Linked DNA regions of Drosophila melanogaster. The protein of the gene in region 2 interacts with the protein of the main gene of each other region in a pairwise test. Each region holds a gene or a part of one and is shown on either strand. Other genes may lie near its edges.

What was found.
Region 1: the proteins of Ire1 (region 2) and CG4622 interact in a two-hybrid assay, tested with the Drosophila melanogaster proteins (one large-scale study listed by BioGRID).
Region 3: the proteins of Ire1 (region 2) and nemy interact in a two-hybrid assay, tested with the Drosophila melanogaster proteins (one large-scale study listed by BioGRID).
Region 4: the proteins of Ire1 (region 2) and ZnT41F interact in a two-hybrid assay, tested with the Drosophila melanogaster proteins (one large-scale study listed by BioGRID).

Annotation. Positions count from the first base shown.
Region 1 is NT_033778.4:24,553,283-24,558,272, forward strand, and holds the start of CG4622 (uncharacterized protein), read right to left. Parts: upstream 3,002-4,990; 5' UTR 2,865-3,001; coding exon of another isoform or gene 2,723-2,864; 5' UTR 2,661-2,722; intron 2,290-2,660; coding exon of another isoform or gene 2,072-2,289; intron 1-2,071. Other genes in the region: ITP (Ion transport peptide), read left to right, coding at 2,072-2,289, 2,723-2,864. UniProt on the Drosophila melanogaster protein: Scaffolding subunit of the trimeric nuclear exosome targeting (NEXT) complex, a complex that directs a subset of non-coding short-lived RNAs for exosomal degradation. The RNA exosome is fundamental for the degradation of RNA in eukaryotic nuclei.
Region 2 is NT_033777.3:19,855,269-19,862,834, forward strand, and holds the start of Ire1 (Inositol-requiring enzyme-1), read right to left. Parts: upstream 6,024-7,566; 5' UTR 5,747-6,023; coding exon 5,618-5,746; intron 5,494-5,617; coding exon 5,379-5,493; intron 2,417-5,378; coding exon 1,973-2,416; intron 1,915-1,972; coding exon 1,692-1,914; intron 1,635-1,691; coding exon 365-1,634; intron 278-364; coding exon 113-277; intron 51-112; coding exon 1-50. Other genes in the region: Mrm2 (mitochondrial rRNA methyltransferase 2), read left to right, coding at 6,375-7,127; CG4572 (uncharacterized protein), read right to left, coding at 7,454-7,566.
Region 3 is NT_033778.4:12,667,204-12,672,159, reverse strand, and holds the start of nemy (no extended memory), read left to right. Parts: upstream 1-1,940; 5' UTR 1,941-2,273; intron 2,274-4,165; 5' UTR 4,166-4,206; coding exon 4,207-4,325; intron 4,326-4,956. Other genes in the region: GLS (glutaminase), read left to right, coding at 1-984.
Region 4 is NT_033778.4:5,779,838-5,784,541, forward strand, and holds the start of ZnT41F (zinc transporter 41F), read right to left. Parts: upstream 3,022-4,704; 5' UTR 2,940-3,021; exon of another isoform or gene 2,462-2,939; intron 1-2,461.

The DNA.
Region 1 (4,990 bases), on a different chromosome or scaffold from region 2:
CTTCAGATCGGAGATCGATCAAATATGACGCCGTTCATTGGCTCCTTCCTGCGACGATGACGCCATTCGATCGATCGGCCCAGTCGCCCCGGATCATCCATTCAACCGCTCCTCCAACTTTCCCTCGCCTTCTTCTGCGATACTGAAGCCCCTTTTCGCGGTCCATGTTACATTATCTTCAACGCGGTTCGCATATCAATTATGGCACTCACGCCGGCAAAGAGCGTTAAAAATAGCCGCCTGCAGCGACGATGATGCCATAAATCGTGCAACTCGAAGCCAATTATCACCAGATGCTCAGCCCACAGCCAGCAGCCAAATCCAAATCCGAATCCGAATCCGAATCCATCGGGGAAATCGAGCCGAGCTGAGTCGCCGTACGCAAGCTGTTGCACTTTGCACTGAAACGTCGTCGGGATCTCTGACTAAACGAGTGCTACATGTGCATTGAGTGCAAAGGGTTCCCCACCCGACCACAACTTGCACTCTTTGTGCCCACCACTCGCAGGTAGGGATAGTAGGGTTCATTTGTCTGGAGCTTATTCTACCTTCCAGCAAGTTGAAGTCATAATGTTACAATAGTTGGCGATAGTACAGCGAGCAATTGACTATGACGACAGATGGATGTATTACTCTTGATTTATATATACTTTCGACACTAAGTACTAAACAATGACGACCGATGGCCTGGGATGAGTTATTTATATTCACTACAAAAATATGTGATTGCTTAAAAACATTTGTTTTGTCACACGAGACCGCAGTAATTAAGTATGACGACACATGAGCGAGCCCTTGATATCATCAACCAAAAATATATCAAATAAAGACCCCTTGGTGGAGCATACTTTTAAGCGAGAAGCCTCACTTATCGCGAATAGTATTCATAGTATTCATATAAATATATGAATATTTCGGCGACCGACTGATGAACTTTCTCAGAATTCCGATTCCAATTGGCAGTCCCCCCAAATGCCCCATTCCCCTTCCCATACCCATTTCCATTTCGGTGTTTTCCCATCTCGCGGCCATAAATCTGCGAAAAAATGTGCTCAACTTAATTGAAGACATCAGCACGGCAATAAAAAATCAATTTGCGCAGATCCTCAGAGTCGTTCGCTAAAACAATACGAGTATATTCGTTAGCGATTATATGTGTTTAAATCATTATCGGCACAAATTCGCTTTCATGTTGCTGATACTCTCGAAATTGCTCTCGAAATAGCCGACGTCGTCGTGTCTGCCTGGTTTTCATTCAGCATTTCAATTTTTCACCCGGGGTCGAAGGAATTTCACACATGTTCACACAAACGGCCAATTGGCACAGCGCGCAGTGGAAAAATTTGCGAAAAGCGCGCTGTTAATCAAATTATTCAATAGTTCGGAATGCCACAAATGCGAGTGCATAGATATATATATATATATATTCATATATATATCGCTGTCATCGCTGTAATTCCCGGCGGGCGCGCAAATTGATAAAATATGCAAAGTAAACAAATGCCCATGTTTTGGGGGCCCGTCCGCGTCTGCGTCCGTTCGCAAATTGGCTCTCCTTTGAGCCGCCAAAGACGAGGGCGGGGCGGGGCGGACTTACATCATAAATTAAGCCCGCCGACAGATGGCAAATAATGCAATAAACATTGAAATCGCCGGTGCTATTTATAGAGCGCTCCTGCGATAAGATCGTCTGCGGCACCGACTGCAACTGTTGCCACTATTGCAATTGCACCTTTGGGTGGAGAATGGCATGGGCATGGACATGGGGATGGGGATGGGGGCCCTATTTTTAGCCAGTCGGTAGACGGCTGTCGGACGAGGTCTATTTATAGGGTCTCCGCCGTCCTCCTGCCCATCCGCGATGCGGATCGAGCAGCAGATCGATGCCACCTGGGCGAGAGCTGCCCTTGCCCCTGTCCTTTGGCGGCGGCGTGGAGCTGGGCCGACATCGTGCTGGGTTGGCCCACATCTGCTTGGCCAGAGAGGTGGTCCGGGCAGTTAATTAATCTGATCGCACCTATAAATAGGCATCTATTCTTAACCGTGTTTCCGGTTTCCCACACTTTTGCAGATGTGTTCCCGCAACATAAAGATCTCGGTGGTGCTGTTTCTTGTCCTGATACCAATCTTCGCCGCCTTGCCACACAACCACAATCTGTCGAAGCGCAGCAACTTCTTCGACCTGGAGTGCAAGGGCATCTTCAACAAGACCATGTTCTTCCGACTGGACCGCATCTGCGAGGACTGCTACCAGTTGTTCCGCGAGACGAGTATACACCGATTATGCAAGTAAGTTTCCCTAGGGTCCCACAGCCCCAGCCATACGTACACATACATACATACAAATATCTAACAAAACCACAAAGCAGCATCAGTGTTCCTTACAGCGTTCAAGGCAAGGCCGTCCAAGAAACACTAATTATGATCTTAAGTGCTGGCAGACCCTGACACAAATACAATTGTCGGGGTATCGGAAAATGATCGCGGGACCTTCGGTTGTTTCTGAACTTTATGGGCCCGCTTTCCCCGCTACTTTCTCCTCGACTTTCTCGCACAGAGACCGCTGCCTATTTGGTTTCTTCCATTTGGTCTATATCTCTCTCTCTCTCTTTTTGTTTCACCCTATAGTCACTTAAATATTGTAGTAATAAGTTTATCACCTTTTCGTTTGACTTCCCTCTGTGCGAGTCCTACATCTGTGTTTCTTGTCTATTCGATGCAGGGCCAATTGTTTCGTCCACGAGACCTTCGGGGATTGCCTAAAGGTGCTGCTGATCGACGATGAAGAGATATCGCAGCTGCAGCACTATCTGAAAGTGATCAACGGATCACCCTATCCGTTTCACAAGCCCATCTACCACTAGACTCCTAACTTCGACCACTTTCGTTTCCACTTCCGTTTCCGCTTTCGTTTCCGCAACGACTTCATTTTCCTGATTTCTTACTGCCTTCAGTTACCTTTACCGTTGTGTTTCATTTTGATTTTCGTTTTCAATTTTAGGAAAGACTGCTTTGATTCAAAATGGTTTGGCGAATGCCTGAAAGTGCTGTTAATACCCGAAGAGGAAATATCCAACCTACAGCACTTTCTGAGAGTAGTGAACGGCTCGCCCATATCCTTCAACATGGGGCCGCAAACATAACTCTAAGTCCCCGCCCCACACACCCACAGCCCCAACACACCATACACCATACAGCACACAACAAACAACACACACCACACACAGCTGAGAATCGGTGCGAATATCGTGGGTTGGAACGAGCATCCGCATCCAGATATAGATCCAGATCCAGATCGAGAAACAGTCCCACTACGACCACACATGCAGAGCCAGAACACAGAAATCTAAAATATTAAAACGCCCAAATTTAATTCGTACTTATTTATTACTGTATGCCTTACAGTTTTTACTATATGTGTTTTTTTAAAAACGAATTATTTTTATTAATTTATTGAGAACGTTATGCGTTTGTTGTAAGTAACATAATTGGGGAGTGGGAGATGGGCGATGATGATGATCAGATGATGATGATGATGATGTGCAGGAGGAGGATCGCAGATCTCGCACTCCCCACATATACATAGAAGCCGAAGTATTTATTTTTAAGTATTCTTAGCTTGTTTTATTATTATTGCGTTATGCGGTTTGTATATAAAATAAACAAAACGAAATCCATTGTTTTTAATCTATGTAATGTAAAATGATAACTTTTATTTTTGTATCTGTATTCTACTGTAAAATCAGCATTTAGAGTTTACATTTTACACGATTTTCCGCAAGGGCAAAACTACAATGATAAAGATAAACCCATACGAACACACACATACACACATACACACATACACACACACTCACACACACACATATATACACCGCAATCGAGACCGAAAGTATTTTGCAAATGTATTACACTTACAATTTTGTGCTATTTTGTAAAGATGAAACCCTGAATTAGTGTAAATCTGTTGGCGCAAAACGGAGATATGTATTTACCTATATAGTATATAGTATATGCATACCTATCTAAAGCTAAAGCCTTACATATATCCGAATACGAGTACCCTACACACATGCTAAATATTAGAGAGAAACGCAAGATCGCAATTTGTGCAAGACACAAACAAAAACCTGGTAAAAACACGCGAAGAACGGAACGACTGCATTACAAATGTGGCAATAAATAATACATAATTAATAAAACCCTGTAAATTAATAAAGGATAATCAATCATTCGCTGGCTATTTGAGAGCATCAAAATTGTGATAAATGAGAATTAGAATGCGAATGCGCGACGCAGGACACCGCCAGAGAAAGAGACCGCCATACAGAAGGCGACAGAGACAGACAGACTGCAGCTGGCGATTTGCGCGCGTTTCTGGCGCGACTAAAAACGCCTGCTTACCGTTTTTGTTTTGGTACGTTATAATTTTCTTTTGTTTTTAATTAATTATTTGATTTTTGACCTTGTGCATTCTTGGCTTTTAACTAGCACTCAAGCTAAAAATTTGACCAACTATGCTTTACTTTTTGTTAAATTCCTCAATAATCCTCGAACTGTTGAGCTCGTATTTTTTGAGCAAACAAACAGAACAAGATTTTGAGAACAATAATTTTTGTGATATATTCAACCATACCTGAATATGGCTTTTGAACTTTGGCTCTTTTTTCTTCTGAGCAAGCTATACACCAAATTAAAAAAAATCAGGTTTCCTAATTCCTCCTCCTCCTTTTGTTTTTGAACACAGGCAAGAATGCTTCGGATCGCCCTTCTTCAACGCCTGCATAGAGGCTCTTCAGCTGCACGAGGAGATGGACAAGTATAACGAATGGCGCGATACCCTGGGTCGCAAGTAAAGTGCGATTCTCTGGGATTTTCTGGCACCGTCACTGGCACGAGCAGCTACTTAATTCTATGAACTATTAACTAAAACTATTATTATTGATAACTGTGGCAGAACACGGCACGAAACTATGGCAACCAGGAAACG
Region 2 (7,566 bases):
GATTGCGGATCCTTGTGTATCATATCCGATATTAATTGCTCAGCAAGGATCTTTAAAATAAAATGAAGTAATTAGAACAACTAGCTATAACTTTTTGGTGAAGATAACCTACAATTCGGCTGTCCTCACTGTCGTCCTCTGGGCGCAGCTTGGCCAGATTGTATTCGTGGGAGAGTATGTTGGCCTGTCGCTTCAGATTGTCACCAAAGGCGTGGTGACCGCCACTTAAAACATAATAATAAACGCAGCCCAAGGAAAATATATCCACAGCAGTTGTCTGTAAATAATTGAAAGACATCGATTTTAGAAAGTTCTTGTGATGGTGAAGAAGTAGTGTAGGGTAATAATAAAAATCATGTCGTACCGTTCGCTGTGATCTCATCATTTCTGGGGCTATCCATCCATCGGTGCCTGTTACACCCGATCGGCGTGAGAAACTAGTCTTGCCAAAATTCAGCTTCTTGCACAGCCCAAAATCGGAGATCATGACACGTACTTTGCCCTTGGCGTCTGGCAGAGAAATAAGAACATTTTGCGGCTTAATGTCGCGATGCACAATGTCGAGAGAGTGAAGATGACTAAGTCCAGATGCAGCCTGGCTCAACACTTGCCAAACATCGATGTGATTTTGAAGTTCCAGCGAGCGATCTCCTTCGGTGTAGTCCTGCAGAGTGGCCGCGCACAGCTCGACGGCTATGTAGCGGAACTGGCGATCCTGTTCGGTGCAGAAGTAGCGCACCACATTTTCGTGCGCGTCCGATTCTCGCAATAGGGCCACCTCGCGATCAGCAAAGGTGAAGCATTCGGGCAGCAGCCGTTTTACGGCTACGAAACGTTCCTCGAATGTGCCCTTAAAGACAAAAGTACCCTCGCAGCCCTTTCCCAGCACTTCATTTGTGCTGAAGCTGATCTTGCCCACACGCACTTGTCCATTACCCAAGTCCACTAGGTCTTCAGCGTTCGCATTGCTACCATTGCTGCCAGTGCTTCCATTGGATCCATTTTGGGCTATGGCAAAGGTTTTTGAACCATTCTCGCTCTGCTTTTGCAGCTCCCTCATTGTGCTGCAGGTGTACCAGAACAAGGCAATCATACCCAGAACGATAACAATTAGAATCTGATGCACCTTTCCGCTAGGATGCTCCATAAACCACTCGTTGATAAAGGCCTGCACCTTATTGCTGTTCTGCAGTATTATTGTCTTCGTCCGATTAATGGTGTTCCCATTCGTCCGCTGATCAATGCCAATTTCGACCAGCTCGGGATCCGTTTGCACGCCAATGTCGGCGGCGTTCTTTTCATTATTGGCCAACAGGCCGTAGCCATCGTTATAGTTGTGAATGGTGGCCAGACTTTGAACCACCTTGCTGCTGGCTGTCGTCGGTGACAGCTGCAGGTTACCATTACCCTCATTGGGCATGTTGTAGTGTCCCAACATAATTCCTGCATGCTCTTGCAGCACATCGTTAATGTAAATGGTGCGCGGATCTGTCTCTTGGTTGCTGTTCTGGTCTCCTGTAGGTCCATCCAGGAGTTTTATAGGTGGTGCTGTGGAAATACGAGGCGTGTTCTTGTCCACCAGCGAAGGCAGGGCATACAAGCCCTTTTGATGTTCGCCCACATAAAGGGATTGGCTGTTGAAAATATTACAATTAATATGGAATTCAGGACGAATATCGTATGTCCCTTACAATAGCTTCACGGTGTTCACATTTCCTGTTTTCGACTCCTCGAGGATGGCCTGGTAAGCCTCATCAGAGACCGTGGTGAATGGCACACTGAGTAGCCCGTCTGGTCCCAAAAGGAATGCAGCCACCACTGGGCTGCTCAGATCGCGCTGCCACAGAAATTTACCGTGTTTTCGATCCAGAGTCACAATTTGTCCATTGGTGGTGGTGGTCAGATGTATATACTCTGCGTGCGGGAGATCATAAGCAAATGTGTACACTCTTATATTATGAGATGCACTTACCATATTCCTTGGCCAGCTCAGGAGGAGCACTCACAGCATTGTAGTCGTAAAATGTGATATTCCATGGCTTAGCATCCTTGTTCTTAGCCAGGCTGTCGTACATCATGACCGTGTACTGAGTCCGGCCTAGATAGATGGCCCGCGAAGTGGCCCAGCCGATCTGCTCGCCCTCCTTACCATCCACTGTGGCATCGCCAAAGCCCATAACCTTTTCGCGTCTGCCCGTCTTAGGATCCACCATATACCAGGTGTCGCTCTTTTTCCCTGAGTACAGGATTCCATCGGAGGAACGACAGGGAGCATTGGCCACCAGTTGGGGAATGGTGTACGGTAACTTCTTAAGACTGCCCATCTGACCCAGCTGGTAAATGCTGCCATCTCGAGGATCGGGCAGAAAGTGCGGAACCTGAACATTCTCCTGATGTTCTGCTACTATAGGAGGATCTAAAAGAAATACAATTATAGCTTAAAAGTAAAATCATAAAAGAAAAACAAAGTAATAAACATGATTGCAAATTCGAAATCGTGATAAAGTCCGATTCCTTTGCATCCATGTAAAAGCACAATATATGCAAAATCACACAAAATGTATTCCGAGTGGTGTTAAACTTTCAAATCGCATACTGCATCGAATTCATTACAAGTTGTTTTGTTACGACAAGATAACCTAATATATATATACTCCGCGCCAAAAACACATTTGACTAGCCGGCAATAACAATATTTTTAGTTTTATTTTGCTTCTTTTTATTTCCTTTTATTACCCAGTATTAACTAGTAATGAACATTTCATGTCTATTTTTGACGAATTTTAAAAAATCCCACTGTTATCAATTAAAAATTTTAGTTTAAGCAGAAATTTCTGAATTCCAGATTATTATTCAATACTCAGCTTTAGTTAGCAAGTATACTTATTATTATTATCTTTTCAATTTAGAGTGATGAACCCCTTTTGCAGTAAATTATTTTAAGTGTGCACAGTAAACAAATTCCAATAAAAAGTTCCTGATATCGGTGCAACTAACGTGGAGTAAAGTAAGGGAAATATAATAAATTATAACCAGAACCTGTTCTCGATAACGCTTATCTCCTGATGTATGTACATACTTATACCGATGGGAACGAAAATGTAATCTATACATTAACCCCATCCCAAGCGGAGAGCACATTTTCTGGTGCACATTAAAGAACGTGAACACTTTCCACCAAAAGGCCCGAATAAATTAAGCGGCTTTTTGGCGCGGCAGACAAAGCCAAAGCAAACAGCAGTTGGGTAAATACGAAATAGACCTGGGGGACCCATGGCTGGCTGATCAAATCCAAAGTGTTTACGCCAGTCGTGTTGGCAATTTCTTTCTGTTATCGCCAACAATTCGCGCGAGGCAACAGCGTTAAATTCTGACTTTGTCGAATGCAAATGGAGACCATCATCGCATGCACGATATTGACGAAATGGTTTAAACAAAACTCAAGTATTGCCAGGAAAGATGGTCGTCAACCAATATCGAGTAATGAAACCAAACAATTCGATGTACTGTCCATTCTTATCAATAATTAGTTGCAACCCCAAAAACATTCCCGGCATTAACCGAATGTTGCCGCAATTTCTGGGGCAGGTCATTTAACTCGCCGCAGCACTTTCATTAGCATGAGCATTCTAATTGCCTAGCGGTAGTCGTAGACAAAACCTGATTCCGTCTCGTGATGAGGTAATAGAACCTAACAAATCGGTACACCGATCTGCTGTGCTAGAGCCGGCGAAACAGTGTAATTACCGCGAATCAAAAACATATTATTGGCTTGAATGACTCGGAAAAATACTGCCCAAATAGTGCGCTCTGCCATGAAACCGCTAGTCAGATGCTGTCCACATGTTTGTCTCCCTGAATTTTCAATCATTTGCAGTTCCACGAAGCCCGGCGACAAGCGGGCAGCATGAAATTTCTAATAATACGAATGGACATACATGTGTATTGCAGCTATCACATAAAATAATCTTCACGGGGCGTGGGTTTTTTATTTCAGAAATTAAACAAACATGTGGAGGGCGTATTGTCCACAGAGAGTCATTTGGCATAACTCCAATACTTAGTTGGGGAGTAATTAAAGGAAGTTCTTGAGGCATTACTTATCAGGCGAATATGAATGCTCTGAAGTGGAAAATCAATCAACAAAGCCAGTGAAAATAAAAATAGCACCAGGTTTATAAGCAATATTCGATAATTCGAATTGAAAATGCCCTCACTTTTTAATTAGATAAGTGAAGCCCCATTTTAGTGATCTATTGAATGCTATACACATTAAACAAACATAATAATACTAATGGTAGCCAACAAGTGCACCAATTCAAACGAAAGCTATGCACATTAACCCCTTTAATCGCGCAATTTACTAACATCTTTCTCCTGGTGACTCATTTATATATGCCAGCTAATCTCAGAGGTTAATACGAAGCAGCCAAATGACCACAAGATTAACGCACTTGAGAGCCACCGAAAATCAATACGTCACGCTGAGAAATTATGGGAATATTCAATGAACCGAATGGAAAATGGCTCAAAGTCCCAACCACCCACTGCGGAAAGGGTATGGGGGAACAGCAACTGGTGATATGGCGCACTGGCTGGCAACTTAATTGGTGGAATTGTGTGCCGAGAACGCTTGTCGAGATTGCGCTAGACGCGGGACCTTATCAGGCCCGCAGCACAATACACAACATTAATGGCGAGAGTGAAAATAATAGAGCACGAAAGGCGGTGGAAAGATCTATCCTAGGCTCTTACATCTGGCAGATACGAAATCTGCGATGAGCTCATCGAGCGCATGCATGTGCTACGCATTTCGCACTTCAAACGGCGAGTGCAACAGCCTGGTGAAGTGGCAATTTTCCAGGAGGGGTGGTGACAGCATGGGAATAAATATATATATATAGCTAGATCTCTTAAGATCTTTAAATCTACTATGCAAATAAAGCGGCAATTTCCCTAAAAAAAAAAGACTCCTAGATTTAGCTTAAAACAACAATAAACGCAAATAAAACGATTTAAATTTAGCTGTTAAATGGTCTAAAGAAACATTCTCACATTTCAATGAGCAAAACAATAAACAAAACAAAAATATTCTTAATGTGGCATTCGGTAACAATTAAATTTTCCTGACTTTGCATTTATGAAAGATCTTAGTGCTTCCAGTTCGAATGTTTTCAATAACAAAACCATATTGTTTTTTTATCTTTAAAGTATTTAGATACCTAAAAACACCCATTTCCCGAGATATATGCTGGAAAATTCCCACTTTTGATAATAAGGACCCTTCTTTGCCCATCATATGTTTCGAGTCCCACACTTGTGGCCGGAAAATAGGGGTGCAGTGAGTGTGGAGGACAGCGGAGTGCCCGCGTAATTACCATCTGCTATTGTCCAGCGTATTTCGCTGGTCACCGGATCGATGGCTGTCAGTCCGCCGCCCAGTGTGGAGAACACCATCAGCGCCTCCTCGTCGCGGGCGAGGTCCGTGCAGTCCTGCGGGTTGTGGAAGAGCGAGAGAAACTTATGAACAACATATCGGGCAAGGTGATGAAATATTCATTGGTAGTCCAGTGTTAGCCCTTAGTGGGTCATACGGCCCAGTGCCGCCCCCACTTACCGTCTTCTCATCCTCGCCGCTGCTGACGACTTCTGCCGAGTCGCCCTGTTGTGATTTTGCTGTAGCTGATGCAATAAGCCCGCTGGCCAGCAAAAATAACACGCAACAAACAACAACGCAGAATCTCATTTTGTTTTTGCAACCGGTAGGGCGCGGGGCGGGGGTATTAGAAGAGAAAAGAGAGCGAAAGAGAGAGGGAACTAGTTACTGCTATTTCCGATCCGTATTCAGTTTGCACGTTTAGTCAGTTTTCGTTTCTTGTTTGTGGCATATTATCGCCTCTTTTTCAAAACTTTTCAATCATCAAACACTGTTGCAGCTCTGGCCGTGCTAAATTTCACATTTTCTTCGCACTCGCGTTCAATATTTTCCAATTACGTTCGCCATTGTTGAGTTGAGAGTTCGTCGAGTGAGCGGAGTAGAGTGACAGTGGGCAGATAATTGGGAAAAGACCGTACTGGTTTGAAGTGTGACCAGGGAGCACGCAACGAGCCAAATATGCAACGAAATAATATCCCATTCACACTGACGCTTGAGATGGCAGCAATGGAAATCTTATTGTTACCCATCGCTGTTGCCATAAAATCAATTTAAATGTGAAAAGATCTTTTTATTCCAACATGGATAAAATTGTAACATATACGTGGTAATATAATGTGAGCTTTGGAGTTTCTGCGCTTGCAGTGTAAACTTCCCAGAACTTGTATTGACTTTGGTCGATAAAAATCGATAGGCGATCTAATTTCGATATTACACAATGCGTCTTGTTTTTACGGGTAATTGTGTTTTTAAACGCCTGCTGCACACGGAAATAGGCGGAAAGTATGCCAAACAGCAGCCGCGGAACCTCAAAGGACGGAGCAAGAGCTCCCAGGAGTGGCTTACGCGCCAACTGGCGGATCCGTACGTGGAGAAGGCCCGCATGATGAACTATCGCTGCCGGAGTGCCTTCAAATTACTGGAGATCGACGACAAATACGGAATACTGCGGCCCGGAGACACAGTTTTGGAATGCGGAGCTGCTCCTGGCAGCTGGACCCAGGTGGCCGTGGAGCGGACCAATGCCAACGGAAAGCAGGAGCGGGCGCCACAGGGAGCCGTCTTTAGCATCGACCTGTTGCATTTCCATGCTGTGCCGGGTGCCACAATCTTTGGCGGCATGGATTTCACTTCTTCGCTGGCACAAAAGCGGCTGAGGGAAGCGTTACAAGACAGAAAGGTCAACTGCGTGCTGTCCGATATGGCACCCAATGCCACCGGAGTGAGGATGCTGGACCAGGAGAGCATCACTAACCTCTGCTACGAGGTGCTGCGCTTTGCCCTGGCCATGTCTGCTCCGCAGGCCCATCTGGTGGTCAAGGTGTGGGATAATGGCGACGTGCCCAAGCTGGAGCGAGATATGCTTAGGTTTTATGAGAAAGTGAAGAGAGTAAAACCGCGCGCTAGCCGCGGAGACTCCGCCGAGCACTTCCTGGTGGCCAGGAACTTTAAAGGAGCAACGGATAGTTAATTATTAACTGCGTTTTTTGGACTAGTTGAATTAAAAGCTTTGTTAATTGACTGTAGCTTATATTGGATAGAATAACTAAAGGGAAGTAACCTAGGATTAATTTCATCTCAACATTTTTGTTGATTTTCTTTTTGATGTTTTAATCTTTGTTGTTATATACAGTTCTGTAACAAATTATATGAATTTAGTTGAGTATTAACAACCCAATGCTCTCATCAACATATTTATGCATTCAAAACTCACACCAAATTATTCATGATTAATTTTAAAAACAAAGGCTTAAATTTGGTCTCCAAATTGTACTGAATAGTTTAAGTACGCATTTCCTAGTGCTTGTAATGAGTAAGGTGATCAATCATCATGTACAGCCACTTGGGCTGATCGTGAGGAGCCATGTGCCCGGCATTGCGGACCATGATCTCCACAAGATGTCCGGCGT
Region 3 (4,956 bases), on a different chromosome or scaffold from region 2:
TACGACTATTCCGGACAGTTCGCCTTCAAGGTGGGTCTGCCAGCCAAGTCTGGAGTGAGTGGCGGCATGATGCTGGTCATCCCCAACGTAATGGGCATCTTTGCCTGGTCTCCGCCCTTGGATCACTTAGGCAATACAGTGAGAGGACTACAGTTTTGTGAGGAGCTGGTCTCCATGTTCAATTTCCATCGCTACGACAACCTGAAGCATCTGTCCAACAAGAAGGATCCGCGGAAGCACCGCTACGAGACCAAGGGTCTGTCCATCGTGAATCTACTCTTTTCAGCTGCCAGCGGCGATGTTACAGCCTTGCGGCGTCATCGTCTCTCCGGAATGGATATCACTCTGGCCGACTACGATGGTCGCACTGCCCTCCATTTGGCTGCGTCCGAAGGACACTTGGAGTGCGTCAAGTTCCTGCTGGAACAGTGTCATGTACCACACAACCCCAAGGATCGCTGGGGAAATCTGCCCGTGGATGAGGCAGAGAACTTCGGCCACTGTCACGTGGTGGAGTTCCTTCGCTCCTGGGCGGAGAAGGCCGACCAGTCCAGCGAGGAGTGCAAGCCCGAGGCGGTGACCAGCAAGACACAAGCGGATGAGGTCAGTTCAAGTTCAAACTCAAGTTCAAGTCCAGGTTCAAGTCCAGGTTCAAGTCCAGGTTCAAGTCCAGGTTCAAGTCCAGGTTCAAGTCCAGGTTCAAGTCCAGGCTCAAGTCCATGTGCAAGTTTAACGACGGGGGACCTTTTGGGGCACAATTCCAGAAATCTATATGAAATGCTCAAGCTGAATTCCAATTTCACCTTCCAGGAAATCTGCAGCACAAGCGACCTGGAGACCAGTCCGACAACCAGTCCCATTCCCACTCCCGTGGAATCCGGATCCAGGGCAGGATCAGGACGGTCCAGCCCGGTGCCATCGGATGCGGGCAGCACGGCGAGCGCCGGAAGCAGCATCGATGACAAAACCAAGCCGGGACTATAAGCGTACAGAGATCCAGGATCCCAGCCGAATCTCTCTGACTAAATTATTCGCACAACATTTTAGTTTATATATGATGTATTAGATTAAAGTTAAGAGTACCCAAAATACCATCAGTTCACGCTGCTTGGTTAGTCCTATATAATTTGTAGTAGTCATCCCACGTGCAAGTCGTGATCCTTCGAGGCGGATCCACTGCACGAGCGGCATTTGTACTTGTACTTGGTAGCGCTTAGTTAGCCACAAAAATTCCATGTTATCCTACGAAACAATGACAATAATCTTAACGGATATCTAACTTTCCCACATAACTGGGGTCTGTGACCTGCCTAAATGTATTGCATTCGTACTTGTCAATTGATATTTGTATGCGTTTGAATGTGTATTAAGAATCCCGTTTAAAAAGATCATATGTAAGTTCAGATATACATATTTGCTTGATGGCAATTGAATATATACATGTTTAGCTGAAAACGCACACAATATATGGCATATCGTTACTTAATGGGTCTTTTGAGGTTGGAAGATTATACATGATATATAAGAATAATAAATAAAAGATGTTTACTTACTAATTTTCTTAGAGCAATCGTAATTATACCTTTTTAATCATTAACATCAAAATTTTAAAATATGAACTCTATATTTGCATTCAATCCTGTTTTAAATGGTGTTTGAATAAATCAATTAAATTATATTGATATTTTTAAACAAACCAGGAAAATTAGAATTGATTCATTGGCAATCCTTTGGGGTTTCAAAATCGATGTATTTAATTCAAACACTTTTTCATCAATCAATTTATTCTACATTTCATGTAAATAACTCGTTCCCCTTCTACACGTATGTGCTATAAACTTTGAAAACCGAACGTATTTTACACGAAGCCACAAGACACGAAGCTGGATTATAGCACCATTATGGCATGTCATCGGTTAGTTTTCCCAGTGCCGCATGGCTCAGTTCGTTCGCAGCATTCGTGGAGTTCGGACGTGAATGTGTTATTGACTCACAGCGTTTGTGTTCCGTGCCGGTTTGTTTGCGGAGTTTCCATCATCCGTCAGCTCCCTTGCAGGCCGCTTCATCTCCGCCGGAGGAGGGATGCACTCCGTTCGCGTTCGGGCAGATGAATTAATTGTGGAAAATTGTTAAATTCCAGCTCGTTGAAGCGGCCGCAAATCCAATTAAGCGCATACACCATTCGCGCGGAGAGTTTGTGCATAATAGAGTAATTAAGTTTTCATTGAAAAGGGTTTTTGACACCGCACCGTCACACGCCACACGAACTTGGGGTAGGTTCACATTTTGCCGCAAAGACAGCAAATCGAGAGTGGCAAGAACAACAGGAGCATCGTTTCCGTTTCCGCTTTGCTAGCTGGTTTCTCATATAAGAGTGCATAAAGCACAGATTTCGCCAGACCCAAATCGGATTATTAAGTCCCTGCCACAAAAGGATGTCTGTTGTGGGAAGACTAGGCATCCCAGGCAGCCTCCATCCCAACCCATTCCGTCTCCCAGGCCCCGATTTCTGCATCCCCCCCCCTTCCCCTTGACAATCTCTCTGCACAAGTCATAGTCTGCATATCCGGGCCTCGAAATATTTGGAGCCCTTCTTTTGTGAGTGGATTTTTGGCCGCTCGCTTTGTTTGTTTGCTTCATTTGGCGCAGCTATGGGCAGCGTCAGCAGCTGCGGGATTGCATAATGTCCAGCTTCCTCTCCAGAAAGTAGCCCACAGCGATTGGGGATTGGTAAGTGGGTCTGCCCTCTGGAAACAACAAGATCTCAAATCTAATAGGAAATTCTTGATTCTTTTCTTGGGGGACATGTACTTAGGAGGCTAGAAAAGCTTTTAAAGCGCCAGCTAATTAGTTCATATTAATTAAAGAACAAATCACACAAAGCTATTATAGAATTTCATGGTGTGTGAGAACTCAATAATTAACAAAGAAATCTTATTTATTTATTAATAATAATGGAAGCAACTGCTCCATATGCTACGCTACCAACCATTAATGGTTACACAAAATATTACTTTGTATTTATATTACTTTGTATTTTTTTAGCTAGAAATACTTACAATACATACTTGTTACAAAGCTTAAATAATCTTCCGAATATTACTCAAAGTAATCAAATTTTATAATTTTGAGAACTTTACTTTGCTCCCCAAAAGAGTGAATCAAATGACTGAGGGCGAGAGCCTTTGGTGATTCCAATCAAAACCGAACTGCATGCACCCGTAACCCGAACATGTCTCTCTCTCATTTACTAATAATACCCTTGAGTTGGGACCTGTATAATCAGCATAATCCAGGCAGAGGGAATGTCAATCCCCATCGTCCAGTTCCGTGGGAACTGGACACATGTGTGAGTGTGTGGATAGGGACAGTGGGCTATGCAAACGATTCGCAGGAATTTCGGAATGAAGGGGCGGACTGCGGTTGCCGGTTGACTGGTTGACTGGGCAAAGGAAGTTGGCTTCGGCATCAGCAAATGCCAGGCATTGATGTGTCCATCAAGTGTCTCTGCATCGAGTTCAACGAACCCCCAAGAACTAGAACGTCCAATAATAATTGATTGGTGGGAAAGCAGGAAAAGGGCGCCGAACGAAAGAACCCACACACACTCTAAGCAGGAGTATCTGGAGTATCTGGAGTATCTGGAGTATCTTCGACATGACGGGCGACGTGAATCGGAAATTGGCGCTCTCTGCAGAACGCATTCGGACGTGTGATGAGCCAATTTCACACATGGCAGAGGCGGCGGAAAAAATACACGAAATCCGCAAGACAAAAAAAAAAAAACACAAACAGAGAGCGAGCCAAGTGCAATGCCCTGGACTTCAGTTGACGCTGCACTTTTGCCACCTTGTGGAGTCGCCAAAAATAAATGCCAAAAGCCATTTCCACTTCCCGCCATGAAAAGCGACTTCCCCGCTTATAATGCTTGCTTCTCCCCATTCGAAAGGCCCATATATTGTACAGAACTATATATACAGACTTATGGCGGCGCCGCCATTCATCAACAGATGAGAGCTACACCCCCTATTATTATGCAGAGTTGCGGATGTGGAATCAGAAACTGAATCTGAATCGGAATCCTGCTGCTGCTCTGTTGTTCTCTCTATTAAAATGCCACATTTAAATGCCCAGCCTCATAAACGTTTCTCTTCTCGCAATGCAGCCAGTCAGCGGAGCAGAGGCATCAAAATTGATTGCTTTCACATGGACACGAACTCGGTGAGTCCCCTTCCGCCGATGGAGGAGGCCATGGACAGGGTCAGCGAGAAGTCGCCCCCGGGAACTCCCAATGGCATCGAGATGCCCCCGCCGCCGGATGAAAAGTGAGTTGAGCCAAAAATAGACCGTGAATCTGTGTAAAGTCTGTTGCTTTAAATATTAAAACAGCTCTTATGTAGGACCAAGTGTGATATAGATGGTCAAAGATTGCCTGCCACAAAAAAATCTTAAGAAAATTTAAGTTAAATGTTCATCAGTTCGAGGAAAGCTAAGTGTTAAATTTATTATTTTTGTAATAATAGGAGCAAGATTTAAAATTATAGATACAATAAGCATTTCGAATATTTACGAAGCCTTAGGGTTTGAAGAATAATTATATTTCTTATGAAGATGCTTTATTGTTATGCTATTTACTTTTAAATATTTTTATATTTCTTCGGTTATATTTTAAAAAGTTCTCTACCACACGACCAATTAATCCCCCATGCCCAGCTAATCAACACAATTTAGTCAACAGATTCCCCAACACATTTGTTTATCAATATTTAAGTAAATTGTGTCACTTATGCATAGCAAATTCGAGGCGGGCACAAGAACGTAGAGACCAATTTCCCCGGAGGCCAATTTGGAGCTCTTGTCTAGCCGACAATTGGCCTTGCCCATCTCCGATGCGATGCTCATCTGCCAGTTGGAAGCTCTAACTTGGGATGAGAGATATGTAAAACATGAAAAGAC
Region 4 (4,704 bases), on a different chromosome or scaffold from region 2:
CTCTCTTGTTTTCCTTATGTCTAGGGAAATGTGTAACAAGGGCAGCATTTAAAAAATAATTTTCAGGGAGAGGAATTCATGATCACTTCCAGCATCCTATTTATGTAAGCCCCTTTATGTAAACTTCAAGCTAAGCGTGCAAGAAATTACATAGAAGATTATATGGTCCCATATGTTAAACCCTGCTTAAACGTGGATTGCCTAAACGTGGATTTTACAAAAATTTTAAATAATACAGTGGTAGTTTATTGCAGATTAGAAACGTTTTCATTTTAAGTTAACTCTTAAGGAACTCTTATAAGGTAAATTGATTATTCTATACAATGTACGTATAATGATAGCTAAACAAAATGTTGTTTATTATACCCGTTACTAGTAATGTAAAAGGGTATACTAGATACGTGGAAAAATATGGAACAGGCAGAAGGAAGCGTTTCCAACCACATAAAGTATATATATTCTTGAATAGGATCTGGCCATGGCCGTCTATCCGTATGAACGTCATACTATGAACGTCTTGATTTCAGAAACTATAAAAGCTAGACGGCTGAAATCAAGCATACAGACGCAAGTTTGTCGATTTTTCTTCGTTTTATTGTTTATCTTGTCAATTTTTAATTTTTTTCATTTCATTCTCATTTTATTTTATTCATTTATGAATAATTTCGCATTCGCAATCCCACTAGCTGAGTAAAGGGTATCGGATGGTCGGGGAACTCGAATACAGCATTCTCTCTTGTTAGAATTTAAGGACTAACCAATTAAATTTATTACACTCCACAACTTAAGTAATGTAGATATGCATTTATCAACAACGGATCGCACGTTGGTGGAACTCTACTGGCAATTTAAACCTTTTTCATTTGATTCATGTATGCTTATCAGCAAAAGTAGTCCTACTAGCTTGTGTGCCGTTGGGTTATCAGCGTTGGGTTTTCTCGGCAGGTTTTGACCGAAAGCATATTGTTGCCAATCAAATCGCCAGAAGAGCTTGTTATTATCTTTGATAGACAATAAGATACCCTTTTCCTGTCTAGTTGGAGGGCAAGAGATGAATATCGAGAGATATCGGGAACTATAAAAGCTACAGGGTAATCAAATCGCTATGTATGTAAGTTTGATTCAAAACCTTACCATTATCGCTTAAGCTGACACGATCACATTTTGTATTTTCATTTTGTATATTCTACCATTTGTCTTCCCAAAAAATGTAAAGCCAACAAACGGCTAAGGCAAAGAATCTAAAATTGTTAACAATCCAAACATTTTGCGACTGTTATTATGGTTTCGAATATCAAATTAAAACAGTGTCGAAATACTGGTATTGTAAAACTAGTACTATAGTAAATAGTAGTAATAATAGTAATAATAGTAATAATAATAATAGTAACTAGTAGATAGTAAAAACTATCTCTCTGAAAACTGTATCCCTAATCTCAACTCTTTAACTTCTATAGTTCCTAAGATCTCGACGTTCATACGGACGGACGGACAGACGGGCAGGGTCAGATCGACTCGGCTATTGATCCATATCAAGAATATATATACTTTTTCAAAGAATCTAGTATACCCTTTTACTCTACTTGTAGGCCACGGAAAAACCCTTGCTTACGCTTCGCAAAAAAAAAAACGAGTTTGCAATGGGCTCGGGAAAGGATTCAGTAGGAAAATTGACTACAATATAAGCAAGTGGAGGTTTTAGATTGGCTAGATAGTCCAGATCTAGGCCCCATAAACAATATTTGGTGGCTAATGAAAAGAAAGCTTCGAATGAACCACAGAGGAACATTTGTGACCTCAAAGAGATGTGGGTATCGATTTCTCGAGAACATGGCCAAAATTTTTTTAAATCAATGCCAAAACGTATTTAATGTGTAATACAGCCCAGGACGCGACGTTACACAATTCTTATGTTAATTAGTCTGTTATACTTTGCAGCGTTCGAATTAATAGTGGCCTTTTTTTCTTATCTCTGTTGTTGTTGTTGAAAATATAACATTTTTTATCAACATGAAGAGAATAAAATTCTCTTTCAGACTAAATACTTTTGCATACGTTATCTGTAGTAGTAATGAGTATACATATCGTGTGTTGAACATTGCACACCGCAAAAAACACATGCTGTTCGAAACACAATACAAAACAATAATAGTAGTTGGGGCTCGTATTTCATTTTCTTGGCTAGGTGTTCTAGAGCACCTTTTTTTTTGGCATATTTAACCCATTATATTATATACATATATACATGTATATATAACATAATATAATTTCTAATAGCATGCATACGTGTATTAAAATTGATGTGGTTTGTAATCTATTTGATTTGTAAATATGTAGCTATGGGACGTAGCGTTTTGCGAGAAAACTACCAATAAGAATTAGATCCTCCACCAACCAGAGAGTTTAACCGCAAGTCAAAGCAAAGTAAAGAAAACAATGCCGGCGCTGAGCGTGCACTGACCTTATCAGCAGGTTTGACTTTGGCAATGAGTAATAATTTCGACCGCGGCTCTCTTTCTCTCATATGTTTCTACTCAGCTGCTGATGCTGCACATAACTATGCACATACATATGAATGTACATATGTACGTTCCGTTGGAAAGAGAGATCACAACGGAGCGCCCATTCGTTGTATTCACTCTCACGTATCACACTGAACCATTGGCGTTAGTCTCATTTAGGCTTAATTGCGTAAAATTCTGATATTAAAAACATATTCATTTTAAACTCTTCAGAACATTAAAATTTAAATCATTATTATGACTTGTTCGTATCCAATCGTATTTTGTAAATCTTCCAGTTCCCAGCCATATGCGCATTGCATGGACTATGTAAACAAAATATGTGAATGTACGAAATACTCAGTTGAGAGACTACAATAATGTTCCGCTGTCGTGCACTATCAGCTGGTGTTCTCTTTTTATCGTACACGGCCCTACTCGCTGTAATTGTTTTAGATTTCCGATCGTCAGCGACTGCTTACTTCCCGGCACACCCGGCGACGCGTGAAGTTCAACTAACAGCGGTGACGGCGTCGCCTTCTCAGTTGGTTTCTGGGTAGAGCGAGACAGTGATAGTGGGGGCATTTTTCTCTTGAGTGGCGACGCTTGAGTGGTTCTCAAAGGACTTGGGAATTGCGTCTGTTGTTCGCTTATCAAAATAAGAGAGAAGAGTCTAGTTCCTCTACAATCAGAAATATCATATACCCATCACTCAGCTAAGTGGAGTCAGAAAAGAATGTGCCATAAGTAGGATCGTCGAGATCTCTGGCACTATAAATGATAGAAGGTTGACCCATGTATCCATTTTCCAAAAAAATTTTTGATACGCCCACTCTAACGTCCTGAAGCTGCCGAACCGGTCAAATTTTAAGTTTTTTCTCATTTTATTCCCCAACATCTATCGATATCCCAATAAAAAAAATAAATCGTGCAATTTCGGGTTCGCATTCACACTAGCTGAGATAGTCGGGGAACTCGACTATAGCATTCTCTTTTCGTTTATATTCTATTTCTTAATTTAAAAAAAAAAATCATTAGGCATCTGAAAGCCAAAAGCAAAAAGGAAGTTCTTAACGTCCTTAACGTCCGATCCGAAGACGCTAGACACTGATTATGTATATGTAAGGTACATATCAGATCATTTCAATTGGTTTCTTTAGTGTAACCGGAAAATTAAGTCGACGTTATCTACACTTTTGTGCTCGCGAACGTGATTATAAACACAACTCGAAGACTAAAAGGTAATCTTTAAAAATAAGGTTCAAGATAACGTTTCTGGCGCTATAAAAAATACATTTACACTTTATGACGAGTTTCGATATCGGGGAACTATAAATCGACACAGTTGAGACTAGACTTATCAGCGGTTCGATCCTTATCAAGTTCATCCACAGTAAAGCAGTATTATCAAATACTGTTAAAATTAAAATATGTACATAGTAATATGAAAGGCGTTTATCCTTAAAAACAAGAAAGTGGAAGTAAGATATAAATTTTTCAAACGGATTTTCTGGATCATATATTCATATTCATATTCGACTCTACAATTTAGTTGATATCAATGGCGCTTAAACACCGCTCAATTCATCACTTTTTCAATGTGTTTTAATCACTATATCCGTACTTATTTTTGAAGAGAGAAATTTCCATCGTCTTGTTGTCAGGTTCTTTTCAGTTTACGATTAAACTTAAAGTAAAATATATTATTATACCTTTAAAGATTTCTTTCTGCTCATGAAATTATTATATTACCTATAATAAAAATCGCAGGAAATCCGATAATCCATTTCGTTTTCTTACTTTCTTTTTTCTCATCCCCGCCCCATCCTTTTTATCAAGATGCAAAAGCACTTAAGCAAAATCTGCTTCCCGGAATGTGGTATTTCTTATTACAACGGGACCAATTAAAGGAGATTGTTATAAAACAGTTGTATGCAGTGGTGCTTGTCATAAAGAACGGATGAATAATCGAATTTTCTTTGGTTGTGTTTTGATTTGACAAAGAATGTATGTGTATGAATGTATGTATATGTATTAAGCAAATGCACTTTCGACGATCATTTAGCTAAGTTATTTCAAACAGAATAGCTATGCTTAGAGAAAACATTGGTGTGCAAATTGGAAGAGGAATTAGAGTTGTTAATTAGGGTTAATTAAAGTTAATAGGTGGAGTTTGTAGCGACCCCTGAAGCTATTATGTTAG